4 linked regions of the Canis lupus familiaris genome follow. The protein of the gene in region 4 interacts with the protein of the main gene of each other region in a pairwise test. Links are inferred from orthologs where the notes say so. Each region holds a gene or a part of one and is shown on either strand. Other genes may lie near its edges.

Region 1 (5,080 bases), on a different chromosome or scaffold from region 4:
ATAAAATCTTAAAAAAAAAAAAATGTGTAATACAGGGAGGCCTGGGGGGGGGGGGGGGGTTGCTCAGCAGTTTGGCGCCACCTTCAGCCCAGGGCCTGATCTTGGAGACCCAGGATGGAGTCCCACGTCCGGCTCCCTGCATGGAGCCTGCTTCTCCCTCTGCCTGTATCTCTGCCTCTCTCCCTCTCTGTGTCTCTCATTAATAAATAAATAAAATATTTTTAAAAAATATGTAATACAATGGGAAATAACATATTATGGTAAATAAAGAGAATCAATGTAGAGAAGTAAACCGTACACTGAACATTACAGAGCACCTGAGTGGTCCCCAGAGTGAAATCTCTTCCAGTATTAAAAAAAAAAAAAAAAAAGGGGGATCCCTGGGTGGCGCAGCGGTTTGGCACCTGCCTTTGGCCCAGGGCGCGATCCTGGAGACCCGGGATCGAATCCCACATCGGGCTCCCGGTGCATGGAGCCTGCTTCTCCCTCTGCCTGTGTCTCTGCCTCTCTCTCTCTCACTGTGTGCCTATCATAAAAAAAAAAAAAAAAAAAAAAAAAAAAAAAAAGGCATTCGTATAAGCCATTACAGTAACTGTTCCAAGATTCCCCTCCCTTATAGTTTTCTCTCTGTCCCTCTCTTCCTCCCCAAAATTAATCAGTAATGGTACTGCTTCTCAGTACTGCAAAAATATCCTGAGAAATCATTCAAACAACAAAATTTAAATATAGTACGTAAGCCAAAACACTGGTGAGAGTGCGGGATTTAGAGGGGCCTTGGAAACACTACTTAGTAACCCCATCTAATTGGGAGTGTGATGTCAACACACAGTGAAATGACAACATTTCATCCTGTTTTTGCACAAACTGAATTAGATAATTTAGTTAAAAAGCACATAACTCTCACTCTGTTGAACACAAAAGATGTAATCCAGAGCTCTTAATTCTCTCACTGATTACTATAAGAAAACAAGATTGCTCTAAATATTTATTTATAACTTTTTAGTTAATTATGGCCAATAACATACCAGGAGGTAATTTACAGTTCAAATTTTTCATCTCTTTTGTCTCCACGGCGTTAAGCTGAATTCTCAACTTTACAATAAATACACAATTCCAATTTTCTTTTTCCTTTTCTTTTTTTTTTTTAAGATTTTATTTGAGAGAGGGAGCCACGGAGCATGAATAGGGGGAGGGGCCGAGAAAGAATCAGAGCCCCAACTGAGCAGGAAGCCTGAAGTGAGGCTGGATCCCCAGGATCCGGGTATCATGACCTGAAGTAAAAGCAGACACTTAATCGAATGACTCACCCAGGTACCCCACAATTCCAATTTTTCAAAAATACCTCTCTCCTGAAGAAGTGATATTATAGTTTTGGTGCAATACTGATGCAGAGCTCAACTGTCTTATCAAGAGAATCACCTATTAAAAGGAAACCAGGGCAGCCTGGGTGGCTCAGTGGTTTAGTGCCTGCCTTTGGCCCAGGGCGTGATTCTGGGGTCCTGGTATCGAGTCCCACATTGGGCTCCCTGCAGGGTGTCTGCTTCTCCCTCTGCCAGTGTCTCTACCTCTCTCTCTCTGTCTCCCATGAATGAATAAATTAATAAAATCTTAGAAACAAATTAAAAGGAAACAAACAAACAAAAAAATCAAGGTAGCTCAAAGGCCCCAGCTGTCCAATTTTGCATTTCAACACTCGATAAGGGGTAACCTAAAGGCAATGAATACTTTCTGTAACTCATTTTCACGTTTGGTATTGTCATTTCTAGAGTAGGGATCCCAGGGAAGAGAGTTTAAAGGACATAATCCATTTCCAATCTCTACGACATTGTTTGGGAAAGATCACAGATCTGCAGGCGGATGACCAGGATCAAGGCCATCTGTGGCCTTGGGGATCCCTGGGTGGCTCAGCAGTCTGGCACCTGCCTTTGGCCGAGGGCGTGATCCTGGAGTCCTGGGATCGAGTCCCACATCGGACTCCCTGCGTGGGGCCTGCTTTTCCCTCTCCCTGTGTCTCTGCCTCTCTCTCTCTCTTTCTCTGTGTCTCTCATGAATAAATAAATAAAATCTTAAAAAAAAAAAAGACCATCTGTGGCCTCTTCCCAGTTGTGGGATGCAGGTGAAGTCATTTCACCCAAGCCTCATCATTAATTCCATTTTTTTAAAAAAGATTTTATTTATTTATGCATGAGAGACACAGAGAGAGAGAGAGAGAGAGAGAGGCAGAGACACAAGCAGACACACAAGCAGGCTCCATGCAGGGAGCCTGACGTGGGACTCGATCCCGAGACCCCGGGTCACGCCCGGAGCTGAAGGCAGACACACTGAGCCCCGCCGGGTTCTGGCGGGGGCTGGCAGCGAACTGCAGAGCGCTACACGGTGTGTGTTTGTTGTGTTTGTTTTCCCAATCCCACACCGTCTCGTCGGGCTCAAGGCCATGAACACGAACTGCCAGGATCCACTTCACAGCACGACACAGGCAGGCCTTGTACAAGGCGGTCCTGGCAACCCCTGGCAATTAATACACCTACGGCAGCGGGCAGACGAAGTGACTGGTGAAGTCCCCGCCCGGACCAACCGTCCGTCCCTCCTTCCCGGCGGCGGCGGGTCACTCATGAAGTCACCACAGTGACTCAAAACGCCCTTCCTACTGAGGTGAGTCAGGAGGAAGCGCGGAGCCCGCAGCCGCCACCACGCGGGGCTCGGACCACCGGGCGCCCGGGACAGGCCGGGGTCCTCGCGGGGGTCGGAGGCCGCAGCCCCCGCCGGGCACGCCGAGTCGGCACGCGACGCCCCCGGGGTCACCCAGCCCAGCGCACTCGTGACGCCGCGAGGGGCCGGGCCCAACGGAGCCCAAGGCGGACGGGCCGCTCGGGCCTCACCCGCCCGCCCCGGCGGCCGGGAGCGAGCAGGGAGTCTCAGCGCGGCGCCCTCCCCGCTCATCCCGTTTCCGGCCGCCCCCCGTCCCGGCCCGCCGGCTCTCCCTCAGGCCGGCGCCCGGGTCGCAGCGTCCCGCCGCCGCCCGCCCGGCTCAGCTCCGGGCCGTCCGGACGCGCCGCGGAGCCCGGAGGAGCGCCTGGGAGGGCGCAGACCACTCACCGGCCTCGGGTCCGCTCGGCCGGCCGTCAGTCACCGCGTCCGCGCGTCCGTCAGCGACTCAGCGAAGCGCCGCGGCCGCCGCAGCCCTGCGGGCGGCGCGAGGGCGGCCCGACGTGCGCACGCAGAGGGGGCGGGTCCTGTGGAAGGACACGCCCCTGCGGCGGCCCCGCCGTGTCTCCCGCGGGGTCGCGGGGTCGCGGGGTCGCGGGGTGGCTAGGGGAGTCGGGGTGCCCCCGAGCCCGCGCGCTAATGAGAGAGAGTGTTAATGAGGGCGCCTCCGGGCTCCGCGCTCTCCGCGCCCCGTGTCCCCGCCTGTGCAGGCTGCACCTGCCCTCTCGGTTCCAGCCGCCTTGCCTGCCTGTCCCTTCCTTACCCGTCCGGCGGGCTGCAGAGCGAATGACCGGTACTGTCCCGTGCTGACAAAGGTGTGCGGAATGTGCGCTGTTCCTGGGATTTCCCGGAGACCTGGGGACACGTTAGCGAGATCTGTTCGAATTTAGAAGGGGCCTATCTCTTTGTTCAAACAATGTCCTTCCTCGGTAGCTCTCGGAGAGCAATGCGTGCAAGAACCCCAAGAGGCAAGAGCGAGGAAGGTCGTTGGCAACACGGGAGGGGATGCGCGCGTCATCTGGGTGAACATCTTGAAACCACCTAAACGTCCATTAAAGGGGGATATGGTGTGGGCGTTGATGGGGGTACCTCTCTGCAACGGGGTTGTGCCTGCGTTAAAAAAAGGAAGGGCAGACATGAGCTTAGGGAGGATGTTATTAAGCAGAAGGATAGGATGTAGGATGTAGAAAGCAGGATGTTGGAAAAATGCAAAAATACATTTGACAGTGTGTAAGTTTGACTTAAAAAATATTGAACTCTAGGGGTGCCTGGATGGCTCAGTCAGTTCAGCGTCTGCCTTCGGCCCAGGTCATGATCCCAGAGTCCTGGAATGGAGCCCCACATTGGGCTCCCTGCTCAGGGGGGAGTTTGCTTCTCCCTCTCCCTCTGCCCCTGCTCATGTGCACTCTCTCTCTCTCTCACTCTGAGTGAATAAATACTCACTCTGAGTAAATAAAATCTTTAAAAAAAAATTGAATTCTAATGTGTATGTGAAGTGTTTCAGGGTGAGGGGCAGGGCGGTCTGTAATTTACTTGAAACATATCAAGAGATAAGATAGTTGATGGATAATAAATGTCTGATAAATAAAGCAAAATGTTAAGAATTGGAGAAGCTAGGTGGTAAGTGTATGTGTAGGTGTTCCTGATATAGTTCTTTCAACTTTTCCGTATGTCTACAGATTTTTTAGGATAAAAATTTGGGGAAATATATTCAATATGATCTCTTTTCTTTTTTTAAAGACTTCATTTATTCATGAGAGACGGAGAGAGAGGCAGAGACACAGGCAGAGGCAGAAGCAGGCTCCATGCAGGAAGCCGGATGTGGGACTCAATCCCGGGACTCCGGGAACACGTCCAGAGCCAAAGGCAGATGCTCAACTGCTGAGCCACCCAGGTGTCCCCTTTTATTTTTTTTGAACTACAAAATGTTCTTTCCACACATTTATATTTAGGTATCTAAATGCATCCAATGTCAGGAAGGTTTATACACTAGAATGTCAAAGGGAGGTCGGGGGTCACTTGTGCTTTATCTGTACCAATTAAATTTTTTTTAGATGCATAAATGCATTAGGCATGACTTGGTTACCAAAACCAAATTTTATTTATTTTTAAAGATTTAATTTATTTATTCATGAGAGACAGAGAGGCAGAGACATAGGCAGAGGGAGAAGCAAGCTCCTTCTGGGGAGCCTGATGCGGGACTCGATCCCACGACCCTGGTATCCAGACCTGAGCCAAAGAAAGACTCTCAACCGCTGAGCCACCCAGATGCCCCCAAACCAAATTTTAAAAAGAATGGATCTTTAAAAAGTAATTATTGGAAGTACACACCATACTGCCCCTGCTCCCAAATACATACACATAAAATTGAATA
Region 2 (4,937 bases), on a different chromosome or scaffold from region 4:
ACTCGTTCTGTTCTAACACTTAACAATTCAAACAGACCATTTCAGTTTTAGTGTTACAGGAGACAACAGTACTGATGATCTGTAGTCGTATGAACTTCAACACCCTTGCACACAGTAAACATTTTAATATTACTTATTCTAAATAACTAAAACTAAAACCACTATGTGGTAATGGACTGAATTAGGGAAAGATATACAGCCAGCTAGCTAAGGCCACATAATCCCAGACCTATTGATTTTAAATGTGTTTGGACCAACAGTGTCACATCAGACCTTTGGGTCTCCCATTCCTGCCTTTCCAGTGTGAGTGAGACACACCACATTTGGACCACCTTCTCCCTGGGTTCTAGACAGAGCTATGGGAGCCGTCCCAACACAAGCTTCTCCTACACAGTCACCAGCTTCCTGATTCACTAACTCTGAATCAATAGTTCTGAGTGATGTTTCCTGAACACCCAGGCTAAATTCAAGGTCAGTCTTTTTGGAAGGTCGCAGCCTTTCCCCTTAGGAACAAAATGAAATGTCCTCCACTCTTGGGCTCCCCTTTTCGTCTCATGTAGCATGGGGCTCTGTGGCGATCTGTGGCTTTTTACACAAGTCCTGATAGAATTCTGACTCCAAGAAACGGGGATAAGAGTTGTTCTCCATCAAGCTGTAGACCCTTTTCTGGGCGGTTGTAAAGCAGCCACTTGTAGCTTCTTGTATGTTTTGGGCAATCAGAGTTTTGGTTTGAAAGTCTATGTTTATCTGAAATTATAAAAAAAAAGGGGTTTATTCCATATTCAAAGCTAGGGACTGATACCTATTTAATCGTTGAAAACAAGCAGCAAAAACTATAATGTGTGATGAGCTTCATTAGCCAAGTCATTGAAGAAATGAAATTAAGCGAATTAAAAACTAGAATTAGTTTCTTGAAACAATCTTGTCCCTCCCCCCTTTAATTTAATGTCTTTTTGTTTCATTTTGGTGCTAAGAATATTCAAAATATGCTGAATTGAAGTTCTTTTTTTGCCCCCCTTACCTCTTTAGGTGCTTCTTTTTCTATGAAATCAGTATATATTTTCCTTGCTTTGGAGGACAGCTTTTGGGGTGACTTGGTTTTTTTGAAGTCTTCGCAGGCCAGCCAGAACTCAATATTTTCTTCACAAAACTCAGATTTTAAAAAAGCCCTGAATGCAGCAAGACCATCTGGGGAGGAAGAAAGGGGGGAAAAAACATGCAGAATGTAAATTGGGTGACCAATTAATGCCTTAAAATTTTTCCAGAACTACCATTCTCCCATCCCTATATTTTATTATTTCTAAATGATGGCAATTTTCTATATTTCACTCAAACTTGTAACCCTCAGAATTTAGCCTTTTAAAGACTAAGATGCTAATAGGCAAAATGCATAAGCTGGCACACTGCTACAAAATATACTTAACTTTGCTTTTAATGCAAATATTTAGAGGGGAACCTAAATTCTCCGGGCTCCAAACCTCCTGGAAACCTTGTATGCAATGGAAAAAGCTGATTCAATTCAACCTTAAGGAAGAGCAACTGCCCCTACAATTTGGGCTACTTTTCCTTCCCTATCTACAGTGAAGAAACCATGTATTTCTATGGTTAAACAGGAAATAAAGGAGAAAAATAGGCATTAGATCTTTAGTGATTGCAAATTTGAATTCCCCTTGAGCAATCTGCTTTTCTGTTGTGAACACCTTTGTGGACTCTTGTGATATTTGTGATATCTTGTGAAATGGATCAAATTCAAAAGGTTAACTTACATTTACTGGCTAGCAGCTCATCAAACGCTTCTGACCACAGCTGTGCTTCCTCAGGAGAAGGCCTGCAAAAGAAGGTCTGCTCATTAGCTCGTGCACATCAGAATTCCTCTTTTCAGCTCAGCAGCTAGCTATTCATGTTCGCAAATACAAGATTTTTCAACTTACTTGATGAAGGTTTGCTGTTTGCTTTTCTTGCCATTTTTGGGCTTCCCAGGAGACGACGAATTTTGTAAGAAGTAGCTCAAACGGGTCTTCCAATCTTTTAATCTTAAAAAGAAAAAAAAAAAAGATATTCACTAAGTGACAACGTTTGAAATTGCTGTGGCAGCTGAAGGCATTTTTACCAAATAAAGCCACCCAGTAGCAACAAGAATCTTCAAGTCAGTCTTACTCATTTTACATTTAAACCTAGCACCTACGTGCTTAACGCAATTAGTTTCATCCCTTCATCTGAGCAGAAGTACTACTCTCATAACCAAGGGTAAGTCTACCTAGGACATTTAAATGAATTTAGATGGCATATTTCAAAAAGACAGATGCAATTTCTGACCCACAAAAGACCGCAGTTTTTCTGCAGCCTTGATTACAATTCTGAGACATTTCACACTTGAAGAAACCTAACACTGGAACTGCTTGGAGCCAGTGGGTGTTCATTTCCCTCCTACCCTTAGAGCAAGAGGCTCTGGACCACTCCAGAAGCCATGAGGCAGGGGGTGTATGTGTGTCCGAGAGAGAGAGAGAGAGAGAGAGAGAGAGAGACTGAGTTCCCCTGCCCCAGCCCAACTACAACACTCATTTTAAGCAGATGATGCATAACGATGATTTGCTGCACAATCTTTAGTGGGTGAATTAAGCAATTCAGTCAAAAAAAAAAAAAGCGATTTTAAAACGAGTATGTTCAGAACCAGCCAAAATATTCCAATCCGGAAGCTGTGCAAGCTGATCAGAACTTATAATGCAAGGCACCAGTGCTGGGGATGTGCTTCGGCCCCAGGATCCTCGGCTGCTACCTTAGACGCAGGGGCCACAAAGCCAACCTGCGAGGTCTTAGCCTCCTCATCCTCCTCATCACCACCGCCTCCCTATCTAACATGCTCTCAGTCCTAAACTACCCGAGAGTCCTTGGCTCACGCACACAGATTGAACCTTACTTAGCTAATTGCCCTCTTCCACATTTTTGCTTTTCCCTGCAGAGGCGCGGGTCGCAGGGTTTCCTAACGTCATCACGTTCGCAGCAAACCCGGAGCGCCAGGTGCGCAGCGCGGGGCGGGCGCCCGAGGGCCGTACTCACAGGGTCCGCTTCATCTTTTCCCGCTTCTCCTCGTGCTTGGGGCTGTTGCTCGAGCTCTTGTCCATGGATCCGCAGTCGTGCTGGACGGCCAGGAACATGGCACTTTGCATCGTCCACCGCCTGCCGGGGCCGCAGCTCTGCGCGGCGGGGCGCGGGCGCCGCCTTTATGGGCGGCGGCGGGGAGGGGGCGGGGCCTCCGCCGCCGGGCCCGCCCCCCGAGGGCACCGATTGGTCGGCTGCACCCGGGCGCGGGGGCGGGCGGCCCGGCCCGCGGCGGTCACGGGCGCCGCCGAAGGCTCTCGAAGCGAGGTGGGCTGACGTCCGGGGCTCGGGCTCCGGCTCCGGCTCCGGCTCCGGCTCCGGCTCCGTGCGCGCTCGGGCCCTCGCGGCGGCTCGCGGGGTTGCGTGTGGGATCGGACCGGGACGCCTCGCCGCCAGCCGCGCCCCGGCCACGGGACGACGGGACGACGGGACGACGGGAGGGGGCGCTCCCGGCCCTGGAGGGGTGCAGGCTCCGGCGGGGAGAGGCTGCTGGGAGCGGACCGGGGTGCAAGTGCTTTATTTTGAGTTAAGATGTTTTCCAACCCCCCGCCCTTGTTTTTTGGAGAGCGCGCCCTCTTCCCACGCCTCATTTCTTGCAAACAGGCCGCGGGGAGACCCTCCCCTCTTCCGCTGTGCGACTCCGTTGAGTTGGGAGGGGAGGAAAAGATGAAAGGGAGGGGCGGGGCGGGGGCGGGGGCGGGAGCGAGGGGGGTAGGGGCGGAGGGGGGCAGGGGGAGGGGGCGGGGGGCAGGGGCGGGGGGGCAGGGCAGGGGGGACAGGGTCAGGGGAGGGGGCGGGAGGGCAGGGGCAGGGGCGGGGGGGCCGGGGTGGGGGCAGGGGAGTGGGGCAGGGTCAGGGTCAGGTGGGGGAAGGAGCAGGGGCAGGGGGGGCCGGGGCGGGGGCGCGGGGGACGGGGGCGGGGGTGGGGCAGGGGAGTGGGGCAGGGGCGGGGGGGCCGGGGCGGGGGCGCGGGGGACGGGGGCGGGGGTGGGGCAGGGGCGGGGGCAGCGACCCCCGCGCGGCCGGGGGGTGGGGTGGGGGGGGGCAACCCGGAACCCTGCGGGGACTGAACGGTAAGCAGGGAAGGAACCGGAGAAAGGGACTTTATCCGACGGCCGTGTTTTAAGAGGGTGTGCAGCCTTGCTCCCCGCAACCTGCGTGATTGGGTCTTCCCGTGGGGTTGCAAAGCTTTTTCTCCGAAATCCTTGGTTGCTTCTCCTTCCAGGACAGAGAAGTCCCAGCTCTCCTCACGAGGAGACGGAGGGAAACACCAAGACGTGGAAACTGTGATGCGCCAGAGCCATCCTCGTCCTGGGAGTGCAAGGATGCAGGGTTTCCTCATGAGTCATTCTTGGCTGAGAATTTACCAGAACACTTAATAACTTGCAAAGTGGGGGAGGGAGGAGAAGAAGACGTGAAGGGTTTACTTGCATAATTTGGTGATTGTTCAAAAATCATCTGTGCGAAGGCCGGCTTTAAGTGTTTTTGAGTGGGAAGGACAAACGGAGAAGGTCCACAGTCGATGACCTCAACACAATTCACTCCTTGATTTCAGGTATCAGAGCCGTACAGTGGAATATTCAGATGGTTTCCCCATCAAGCATTTAAGTACAAAGTAAGACTCACAGCAAGGTATTGATTAGGCTACAGATACTCTCCGAGCTTTGCATTAGAACTGCCAAAAGGAAATTGGAGCTAGTTTAACTTCGTGCCCTGAGCAGCCAGTAGTTGACATGTAGGGTAAAATCTGCAGTTACTACTAAAGAGAACAGACATGTAGTTCATTATGGAAAGGAAAAAAAAAAAAAAAACATTTGGATTTCAGTAATAAATACTTC
Region 3 (4,633 bases), on a different chromosome or scaffold from region 4:
TTGAAGCCCTTGAGGAAGGATTGATTTGATTATCTCAGGAACAGACAAGTCAGCAAGGTAGGAACAAGAAAAGGGGGCCACATCAGAGAAGTGGTCAGGAGCCTAAAAGTGTGCAGGCCCCAAATGGGACCTTTCACATATCTAAAGTACAATAAAGTCACTAGGTCAGAGAAACAGGACTCAATATACGTGCAGAATCACTGGCTGCATTGAACACACAAGAGGCAAGAGTGATGTATGGATACAAACCCCTGGAGGCTCACACAGCAGTCAGGGGAAGAGCCAGGGCCAGGACTAGTATGCCGAGCAGCAAAGAGAAAGCTCCAAATATCATAGATTTAGTTTGCAGACAAACCTCCTATCAGAACACATGTGTGGGAGGAAAGCAAGAAAGGATAACACAGGTCTTTGGCCTAATCAACTAGGTGAGCAGTATAGCTATTAACTCAAAAGCAGAAGACAAAGGAAGATTTAGGGACCAATCAAATGTTTTGGACACGTCAAGTTTGAAATGCTCATGAAACATCAAAGTAGAAATGCTGAGCAGGCAGGCTGGGATGCAAGCTTGGGAGACACGAGCAAAGGACAGCACCACAATTGAAGAGGGGGAAAAGGCCACCTGATTCCAAGCAAAGGAAGTCCTGGGAGTATCTCCTGCAGCAGCCAAGGTCCGGAGAGGTCATCTACTGAGGGTCAACTCAGGTCTTCGGCCAGGATTGTTAGGACAAGAAGCTCTCTGCTCCTAAGAAGAAAGCTTGGCCTTCTGGGAGCTACACTGGCTCCCTAGGGAGGACACATGCTCAGGAATGAAGGTAAAACAAAGGACCAAGCACCCTGGTGAGCCTAGAACCCAGCCAGGACAGACACCTGCCTCTTCTGTATTTATTTAACAGACGTTAGCACATGAATTCATTGATCCATTTTTACAAAAAATAGTTTTATTAGAGCAACATGATATTATGATATAAAGCACTACACCATTTGACACAAAGTTCTTTTATAAGTGAGCACCAGTGTACAGTTCTATAGCTTCCTCCGCGGTCCTTATTACAAACAGCTGCCTAACCTCAGCCTAAAGATGAAGTGCAACATTCTTTCTACAATATGCTGAACACTCACTTCAGTTTATTGTAGAAGTTTCCTAAACAGACATCCTTCTTGTCGCGGGATGGACATTTCATCTGAAAACTTACAAACGGTCTTGTGCTTATCTGACAGTACCCAATAGGCTGGTTCCACATCCGTCCCACAGCCATGGCACCAGATCCACTGGGCAGCCACGAACGGACTAACCTCACGTCTGTCCAGCAGAGCATTCCCGGAGAGGCTCCACACAAGACAAACCCCCACACCACCCAGGCAGGGGAAGTGTTCCAGCATGGAAGTCAGGCTAAAAGAAATTGAACCTGAACTCTTCATCAGGGGTATCCTGGGTGGCCTTGGCTACACCTGCCTGGCGAGGCCTGCAGACCCTTCCGCTCTTCTTTCTGGTGGCCTCACCTACAGGCTGCACCTGAGCCGCGCGGGCCGCTGTGGGGGAGGCGACAGAAAGTGTCGTAACAGAGTAGTAACCGCTAACATTACCCTGGCCATTCACCTCGAATCTCTTGGGGCAAATCAACGGATTCATTCCTCAAAATCTGAGGGTAGGTGTTGGCATCAAACCCCACCCAGAATCACTAAGACCGGCACCCTGAGTGGCTCAGTTAAGCTTCCGACTCCATGTGGGCTCAGTCACGGTCTCAGCGTCAGGAGACCCAACCTCTCTCCCCTGGCGCATAGTCAGTAGGAGGGTGCTCCAGCTTCTCTCACCGCCCCTCCCCCATCCCTCTCACCGCCCCTCCCCATCCCTCGCAGGGCCCCAGCCTTTCCTCTCCCAGCGCCCTCAGGCCTCTGAGCCGACCCACCCCCACCAGCCCTGTCACTCTGGGTTCCTCCGGTCCTGTCACCCCCTAGGCCCTTTCTCCGCACCGCCTGGGACCACCGGCTTCCTCACCTGCCCTGAGCGCCCGCAGGGCGTCGCGCCGCTCGGCCTCCATGCGAGCCCTGTAGTCCCCGAACAAGGAGCGCATCAGCTGCCTCTTCCGCGGCAGGGGGGTGCTGTCGCTGCGCAGGCTCCGGATCGCCCCAGCGGCCTGCTCTCCTGCCCGCAGCAAGAGAGGCCTAGTAACCGCCTCCATCCCGCTGACGGCCCCCGCGGCCCCCCCGCCCCGAAGGACCCCTCACTCTGTTTCGGACTCGGTCTCCGCGTCCTGAGGCCCAGCTCCAGCTGCTCCACGCACCAAGCCAGCTCCCGGGCCAGCTGCTCCTCCTGCGACGCAGCGAGGAGAGCGGCCGTGAGGCGGCGGCAGGGCGCCGGGGCCCGCGGCCCCACCCCACGGGCACCCGCGAGCCCCGCGGCGGCCGCCACGCCCTCGCCCCCCCGCGCGCCCGCCCTTCCCGACCGAGGCCCGCGCGTGCCTGAGCCTCCGCGCTCCGGGGCGCTTCCTCTGGGGCCGGCTCCTCTGGGTCCTTCCCGCCGCCACGCGCCACGGGGGCCCCGTTCCGGTTTTTCTTCTTCTTCTGGTTCTTGGCCGCTCCGTCGCCCCCACGTTGCTCGGGGCGGCCCCCGGGGGCGGCGTCACGGCCGGCGGGGGGCCCGGAGCCGAGGCGGGCTGCGGGGGGCCTCACGGCGGAAGGACTCGCGGCGCCGGGCGGCGACCCAGGGGCCCGGGGGCTGCGGGGCGTGCGGGCGGCGCCTGGGCTTGCGGCCGCTGCTGCGTCTCGGGCCTGGAGGAAAGGGGCAGCGCCAGGGTCAAAGCGGGCCGCGCGCGGCGGGACCCCGGCGCCCCCGCGCTCACTGGGCACCGCTCACCGCCATGCGCCGCCCTCGCCGCGGAAGACCGCGCAGCGCCCGAGCTTCCCGCCGAACAACCTCCTCCGGCAACGCGGCTGCGGCGCCGAGTTCCGCTGGGCACGGACGGGACGGGGCGGGGGGCGGGGCTATGGGGGGCGGCGGCGGGGCTGGGAGATGGGCGGGCGGAGGCGGGGACTGCAGGCTCAGGCCTCGCAGCGGCCGCTGGGACCCAGCGCAGGCTCCGAAGGGGCCCCCGGGGCCGTGTTCTCGCGCCACCTACTGCGTTGCAGGCACCGCTCAGGATGCTAGGACAAGGCCCTGCACAAGGGAACGCTCCGACCGCTCGCCTGGTGGGCGGGGAAAAGCCGTCCCAGAGAAGCGTCGTGAATAGCGGCCGAAACGAGGGCGAGCGCTCGGCGGAGACCTCCGGGCAGCAGCCCGCGCCAGGCTGGCGGGACAGGTTGGGTAGCGGGAAGGAGGCGGGGCAGGGGCCGCGGGGCAGGTCAGGGCGTTGGGCGAGCTCCGGCCGTGCAGGCGCCGGGGACAGGCCCGAGGTCCGCTTGATTGTCAGCGCGAGGGGAAGCCTTTGACACACGCTGGTCCGCAGAGTGCTGGGGTCTCACTCGGATGTGCGTTTGAAAGACCCCTCGGCTCTTGGGACGAAGGCCAGACGGGCGGGCGGCAGGTGAGGCTGGGAACGTGGAGGGATGCCCGAGACGCGGGGGAAGAGCCTGCGCCCTTGCGGGTGGCCTGGAGGTGAGCACTGCCGCAGGAGGACGCAGCAGGAGCCCGTCCCGGTCTGGCTTGCCCCTCCCCGCCTTCTGCCCAGGGCGGCCCCCCACCCTCCGGTACTACAGACCGGGTGCCTCCTCCCAGCCTGGGGCTCCAGGCGTCAGTAGACGTCCTCGGGAGGAAAGAGCCTGCAGCAGGGCAGGAGCCGGAGTGCTGTCCGAGGATTCCGGTCGGGGAAATCGGGGTACCAAGTGTCGTTTCCTGAGGCAACAGATGGGACGTGTTGCCTGCCTGGGCTGGGAGGTCTCGAGGGTGTCAGTTTGGTCATCACAAATAGTTGATCTATTATTTATTGCAGGGTAACAAGTTGTCACACAACTGAGCTGATCGAAAACAGTAAACATCTGGTACCGTTCCCGAGGAAATCTAGCAACAGTGTAGCCGTGTGATTCTAAGTCAGGGTCTCTTGTGACCCCTCTTGAAGGGAGGAATATCAAAAACCTTTAGACAGGGCCGCCTGGGTGACTCAGTGCTTAAGCGTCTGCCTTTGGCTCAGGTCCTGACCCCGGGGTCCCAGGGTCCACACCCTGGGCTGAAGGTGGCGCTAAACCGCTGAACCACCCGGGCCGCCCATTGAGGGCCATTTTAAATGGAAAAATCACCAAAAAGCACAAGAATGTAAAAAGTGTAGCATTGAATATACTATGAAAAGGACACTGGCTTACAGTATGAGAGCAGTGTCGCCTGCTCAACCTCAGCTGGGAACAGGTAAGTGTAGTGACCCAGAATTGTCATTATTCTGTGCATGTCCATGAGTGACTGTGAAAGGATCAGTATAGGTTTCGAGGGTTACAAGTAAATTTTAGCAACCAGATGAATTTGCAAATATGGAGTGCTCAATAATGAAATTGTATGGATCCCTGGGTGGCTCAGCAGTTTAATGCCTGCCCTTGGCCCAGGGCATGATCCTGGGTTCCCGGTATCAAGTCCCACATCGGGCTCCCTGCATGGAGCCTGCTTCTCCCTCTGCCTGTGTCTCTGCCTCTCTCTCTCTGTATCTGTGTC
Region 4 (5,069 bases):
CAACTGTTGATCACCCTCAAGCCTTGTTGTACCTGGGCTGCTATAGTTCCCACACTGAGAATGCCACTCCTTGGGTCCCACAGAGATTGGGTCCTATGGTGGGGAATGGGGGAGCCCCAAGTAGCCAGCTGGGGTCCTGATAAGCATCTAAACACTCAGGGAGGCTCGACATGTGCTAGACACCATGCCAGGTGCTGGGGTAGGGTGATGTGTAAGACTTTGCCAGCACCCTGCCTATCTCACCATCCTTACCCCCTGCCTATTCCTGACATGTATTCTGGGTCAGGGGAAAAGGAGGTACCTGGGGCACGAGCAATCCAAGACATCAGATACACATCACTCCTCCCCAAACCCATTAGGCATCCATAGGTTTCAGACTGTCAAATCCAGTGGAGAAAGGAGAACTACCTTGCTGATTCTGTCCTATGTCCCTTTGGCTGAGAATGAGAACCACAGACTTGAAGATGGGATGGTCTTCAAAAACCATTTCTACTCCCAATTTCTTTGCTTCACAATTGAGAAAACTGAGGAAGAGCCCTGCCATGGGTCACAGAGTAAGCTGACAGAAGCACCCTCCCCCCAGTCCTTCTGGACCTTCCACCCTCACCCCTATGCTATGCCCGCCTTGCAGAGGTTTACACAACAGTCTGGGACACCCACAGAAGGCAAGCTCTCCTCCTCTTGGCCCTTCCATCCTCAGACCTGCATGCGGCTAGAAGAAGATCACCGTTTCCAGCTCATTAGGATAAGGATATGTAAGCCCAGATAGCTTCTTGAAGGCCCTCTAGATCATGACACGCCCTGAGAGAAGTCCCAGGGTCGCAACCACCCACGGAGTACCATGCCTCTGCCAGGCATCCACAGTCACCAAACACTTGAGCTTGGAGCCATCGGAACCACTGGAGTATCTGTGGTTCTCAACCTGTTGGGGTCTTAGGCCTGTCCTAAGGGTGGCTCAAAGTTATGGGTGCATGGAACAGCACCTCACACTCTCATGTTTAATTATGCCCACAGTCCCCCTGGAATTCAGAGACACCCTGAGCCTGCCCAGAGGTCTCCTAGGGAGTTAGCTTCTTTATTTTAAGGAGAGGATGGACAAAAGCCACGGCTTCCTTCCCCAGGCCAACTGCTGAGCCCCATCACTGGCACGGTCCTCCCACATCAGAAGGTAGCAGCCACTCAGGTCACCACTCCTCACTTCCTCAGCTGGTCAGGGGGGTTTCACATCAGCCTGGACCTGACTGTGCCGGGGAGAAGGAAAACACCAGGGTAAATACAGCCAGGAGGCTGGCCAGGAAGCCAGCGATATCCTGGGTACTACTGCTCCTTCCCCACTTCTGGCCAGACTGGGCTACACAGGGCTAGGAGGGGTCTGTGCCCAAGCTGGGACAATGCTAAGCCCACCTGACGGGGTTAAGCAGACCTTACTGGGGCATAAGAATAGCTGAGTCTAGTGGCTCCCAGGCACCAGGCAGCCTGGGGATGCCTGAGAGAAAGATGCCCAGGCTGTACTGGCCCTCAACACCAGGCCCTGCAAGTAGCCCCGGCCTTGGGAACCAGGGGCAGGCAGTCCTCGGAGTAGCTACCGCCTCTCCACCCCCCCCCCGCCCCCATCTGCTCCCAAAGAAACACTACCCCAGCCTCCCCTGGCCCATCTGCCCAGCTTTCTGCCCCTTGACCTCCGCCACCTCAGCGGGCGCCCAGACCATGCGAGCAGCAGGTGCAAGACGCGGGGGTGGCACCGAGCTGACACGAAACCCCACTCGCCCCCACCTCCTGAACCTTGCGGGCCTCCGCCACAGCCCTCCTGCCACCCCAGGCTGGCGCTTCCGTCGGGAGGTAGAGATGGGGGCGGGGGGCAGCCAGCCGCCTGCCTCCCTCAGACTCCGGGGTGGCGCCGGCAATGTCCTTCCCCGCCCGTCCGCGGACGCGAGGGCACCGGGGCCCCCCAGCCGGCCCTCCCGCCAAGGACGCGGCTCCGCAGTGGCCCGGGCGGGGGCCGAGGCCGCAGCCCCCAGCCCCGCGCCCCGCCCTCCGGCCCCGCACGGCGCTCTCGCCAGGCCCGGCGCCCGCCCGGCGGCCTCGCAGCGCGGTCGCGGTCGCAGTCGCGGTCGCGGTCCCGCCCCCGGCCCGGCCTTGCTCACCCGGGGCGCTGCAGTCCGCACACACCTCCGCCCGCGGCCCCTTCCGGGACATCCTCAGCGGCGACGCGGCCGCAGCCCTCTGGGCCAGCGTGGGGGGCGCGGGCGGCGGGCCCGGGCGGCGGCTGCCTCTGCTGCCCGGCCCGGCTCCGGCAAGGCCCCGGCTAGGCTCCGCGCGCCCGGCCAACCGTCCGCCCCCGGGGCTGGCCCGGAACCCGCCGTGCCCGCCTGCCCGCTCGCCCTCCGGCGCCCTCCGCCCCGCGCCGCCCCGCGCCGCCCTGCCGCCGCTCGCTCTCTCCGCCCCCTGCGCGGCTCCGGGCCGCTCCTGCAGGAAGCGGCGCAGGCCCTGCCCACCGGGGGAGGGGCAGCCCGCAACCCGCCCCGCCGCCGGGCCCTGCGGGCCGCGCCTCCCGGAGAAAGGAAGCCGGGAGCGCGGGCGGGAGGGGGCGGGGGTGCTTAAAGGGGCCGCGGCCGCCGCGCTGCAGGCCCTAGAGGGCAGCGTCGCCTGCGCGCCGGGCCTCGCCTCCCTCGCTCTCCGGCCCCGCGGCTGTGTGAGTTCCCCGCGCAGCCCTCTCCTCTTCGCTTTCCAGGTGGAGGGTAGCCCGAGGGGCTCAGGCCCGGGGACGGTGACCCTTGGGGGACCCGGGAAGAGAGGAAGGAGCTAGAGGCCCAGGCCCCCTTCCTCGTCAGAGCGCTGTGGTTTGGGGTGCCCGCCTCTGTGTGGCTGAGGCGAGGTGTGCGACCTGGCCCCCCATATATCCACATCTGTGTGTCCAGGTGTGTGTGGTCACACCCTTGCTGCTTACGCACAAAGCCAACAATATGGACGCCCAGGTGTACCCCTGCCTCCCAGCTAAAAATACATCTATACCTCATCCATGCTGCCGTCCCGAGAGGAAAGAATCTGGGCAGTTTTTAAAGGCCTCCCGAGGGGTGACCACTGTGCCTGTGGGCAGTAATATCCACTCTGCATTCGTCTTGTATACCTCCACGGTGTTTCTGGGCCACTGCAGGTTTGTGTGTCCAGGGCGTGTGCATATAACATACAGGGACCTTTTCTTATGGTGGCCTTTCTTCCTAGACTTCACACGGAGACGGCAATGGGGGGGGGGGGGGACAGGAAGCGGAGGCGCAGGCGGCACGTGGGTGCACCCCTGCACTGAGCATGCTCCCCCATACACGTGTGCCCCGCGTGCACCCAGCCCCCATCCCTGCAGCAGCAAAATGCCAGAGCGCTTTGCTTCTGGGGCCAGGGCCCGGGTGGCCAGGACCAGGCCTGGGGGCCAGGTCAGTGGTGACCGGAATTAAGGGAAGATTCCCAAGGGGCAGGGAGCCCTTCTCAGTAACAAGGGGGAGAAGGGGAGTCCTTGGGCAGGGGTTTGGGAGTTGGTCGATTTTATCCCAGCGGTGCCAGAACAGCAGTGGCTTGTGGGTGGGCAGGCTGCTTCCCTGGGGGAGACAAGTAATGCTCATGAGTCACACCACCCGAAATACAAGCAAAGCTGCCTCTATCGCCTTTTGCTGCAGCCCAGATTGACAAGTTTGTTTGAAATCGCGATCCACGGGGTATATTTATAATCGCACCTTTAAGAAAAATCTTTTTGCAGGCCTCTCCTCCCCCCACAGCCAGCCGCTCAGCTGGCGGGGCTTCTGCAAGCGAAGGTACCTCGCGGTGGGGGAGCACCACCTGCCGCACGGTGCCGCACCCACACCGAGAAGCCAGTCTGTGGGCTTGGTAGCCCCAGGCTGGACGACGTAATGGAGCGGCCTGGCCGCTCTTCCCGGCGCCCCCCACCCCCACCCCCAGGAGCGGTGGCCGCCCATTCACCCCCGATCGACCCACAGCTATGGAATTTCATTTATTAAATGTCGAGGCGGCTACTGGCAGCTCCATCGCTTGGCTGTCTTTGTTTCTCTGCTGTGTGGGCGCGTCTCGAGCACGTGGCAGCTGGAGGGCGCAGACCCGAGGAAAGGCGACCTGGGTTTGGTCTAGGGCCGCCTGGCAAAGAGACCCGGCTGCTAAGGGCATAGGTCCCCCAATCCTGGCCGAGCTCCCCGTCTCCCAGAACTCCCAACACTTTTCAGGGGAAGAATGATTCACCCCGTCGCCCCCTCCCGCCCGCCAGCTCTACCTCCGGGCTGGCCCGGGGACTACCTGGGAGTGGCCCAGGCAAGAAGCCACACTCTAAACTTTGTTCCGGAAGACCCCAGCCCCGCCACTGCGGAGCTTCTGGGCCCGAGACTAGGGATAAAAGGGTTCCAGGATCTCCCTCTGGAGACGTCTCCACCTCAGGAAGCAAGACAGTAGAAAAAGAAATATGAGACAAGGTTCTATAAACAATTTAATGAGGAAACAAACGTACAGGCATTCTTCTGGCCACTCCTAGCCGTCCCTCCCCCGCCCCAGCCCCTTCCCCAACTCCGGCTGCAGCCACAACACTCTGCTGACCCCTCGTGGTGGAGGTGGGCAGCGGTTCCCGGTTGCCCGAGACGCCGCCAGCTGGCTCCTCCCAGGCTGGAGAAAGGGGCGAGGCAGTCCATTCCTCCTTTATCCTTTCCCGCCTGGGCCTGGCACCGCAGGGTGTGGAGGAGGAAGGAGAGAAGACCACACAAAGAAACCTGAGAGAGGCGCGGAGAGTTTGCAAGCTTTTGCTAGCACCTCCCACACAAACATTTCTTGGATTGTTCTAAGTAGGGCTGGTATGGAATCCCTAATTCCTGTCCTGTTCTAAGGTGGACTCAGGAAGGCACAGTGCCCGGTCCTGCCACCTGTCTCGGTCCACCCGGTTGCGGGCGGGATGCGCTGTTTCTCAGGGCAGTTACTATCCTTAGCTCACCCCAGTAGGTAGTATTTGGAGTCCGATTTCGAGGTGAGTGGTCTGAGAAGACAGAAAATGTAAGCAATTTGCCTACGGCTAGGCGGTTAGT

Evidence for each region.
Region 1: the proteins of GIT1 (region 4) and HMOX2 interact in a two-hybrid assay, tested with the Homo sapiens proteins (2 studies listed by BioGRID and IntAct). The link is inferred for Canis lupus familiaris from reciprocal best matches to the Homo sapiens genes GIT1 and HMOX2.
Region 2: the proteins of GIT1 (region 4) and RGS2 interact in a two-hybrid assay, tested with the Homo sapiens proteins (2 studies listed by BioGRID and IntAct). The link is inferred for Canis lupus familiaris from reciprocal best matches to the Homo sapiens genes GIT1 and RGS2.
Region 3: the proteins of GIT1 (region 4) and C13H8orf33 interact in a two-hybrid assay, tested with the Homo sapiens proteins (2 studies listed by BioGRID and IntAct). The link is inferred for Canis lupus familiaris from reciprocal best matches to the Homo sapiens genes GIT1 and C8orf33.

What each region holds. Positions count from the first base shown.
Region 1 is NC_049227.1:37,202,417-37,207,496, forward strand, and holds the start of HMOX2 (heme oxygenase 2), read right to left. Parts: upstream 3,217-5,080; 5' UTR 3,097-3,216; intron 1-3,096.
Region 2 is NC_049259.1:6,817,936-6,822,872, forward strand, and holds the start of RGS2 (regulator of G-protein signaling 2), read right to left. Parts: upstream 3,217-4,937; 5' UTR 3,168-3,216; coding exon 3,058-3,167; intron 2,034-3,057; coding exon 1,932-2,033; intron 1,829-1,931; coding exon 1,767-1,828; intron 1,189-1,766; coding exon 1,022-1,188; intron 748-1,021; coding exon 553-747; 3' UTR 1-552. Other genes in the region: protein SPT2 homolog, read left to right, coding at 3,224-3,624, 4,325-4,478. UniProt on the Homo sapiens protein: Regulates G protein-coupled receptor signaling cascades. Inhibits signal transduction by increasing the GTPase activity of G protein alpha subunits, thereby driving them into their inactive GDP-bound form.
Region 3 is NC_049234.1:38,970,477-38,975,109, reverse strand, and holds C13H8orf33 (UPF0488 protein C8orf33 homolog), read right to left. Parts: upstream 2,861-4,633; coding exon 2,855-2,860; intron 2,770-2,854; coding exon 2,461-2,769; intron 2,312-2,460; coding exon 2,227-2,311; intron 2,144-2,226; coding exon 1,997-2,143; intron 1,531-1,996; coding exon 1,391-1,530; 3' UTR 917-1,390; downstream 1-916.
Region 4 is NC_049230.1:43,661,315-43,666,383, forward strand, and holds the start of GIT1 (ARF GTPase-activating protein GIT1), read right to left. Parts: upstream 3,225-5,069; 5' UTR 3,180-3,224; coding exon 3,128-3,179; coding exon of another isoform or gene 2,964-3,127; exon of another isoform or gene 2,642-2,963; intron 2,275-2,641; exon of another isoform or gene 2,197-2,274; coding exon of another isoform or gene 2,145-2,196; intron 1-2,144. Other genes in the region: uncharacterized protein LOC119876655, read left to right, coding at 2,964-3,154, 3,749-4,007. UniProt on the Homo sapiens protein: GTPase-activating protein for ADP ribosylation factor family members, including ARF1.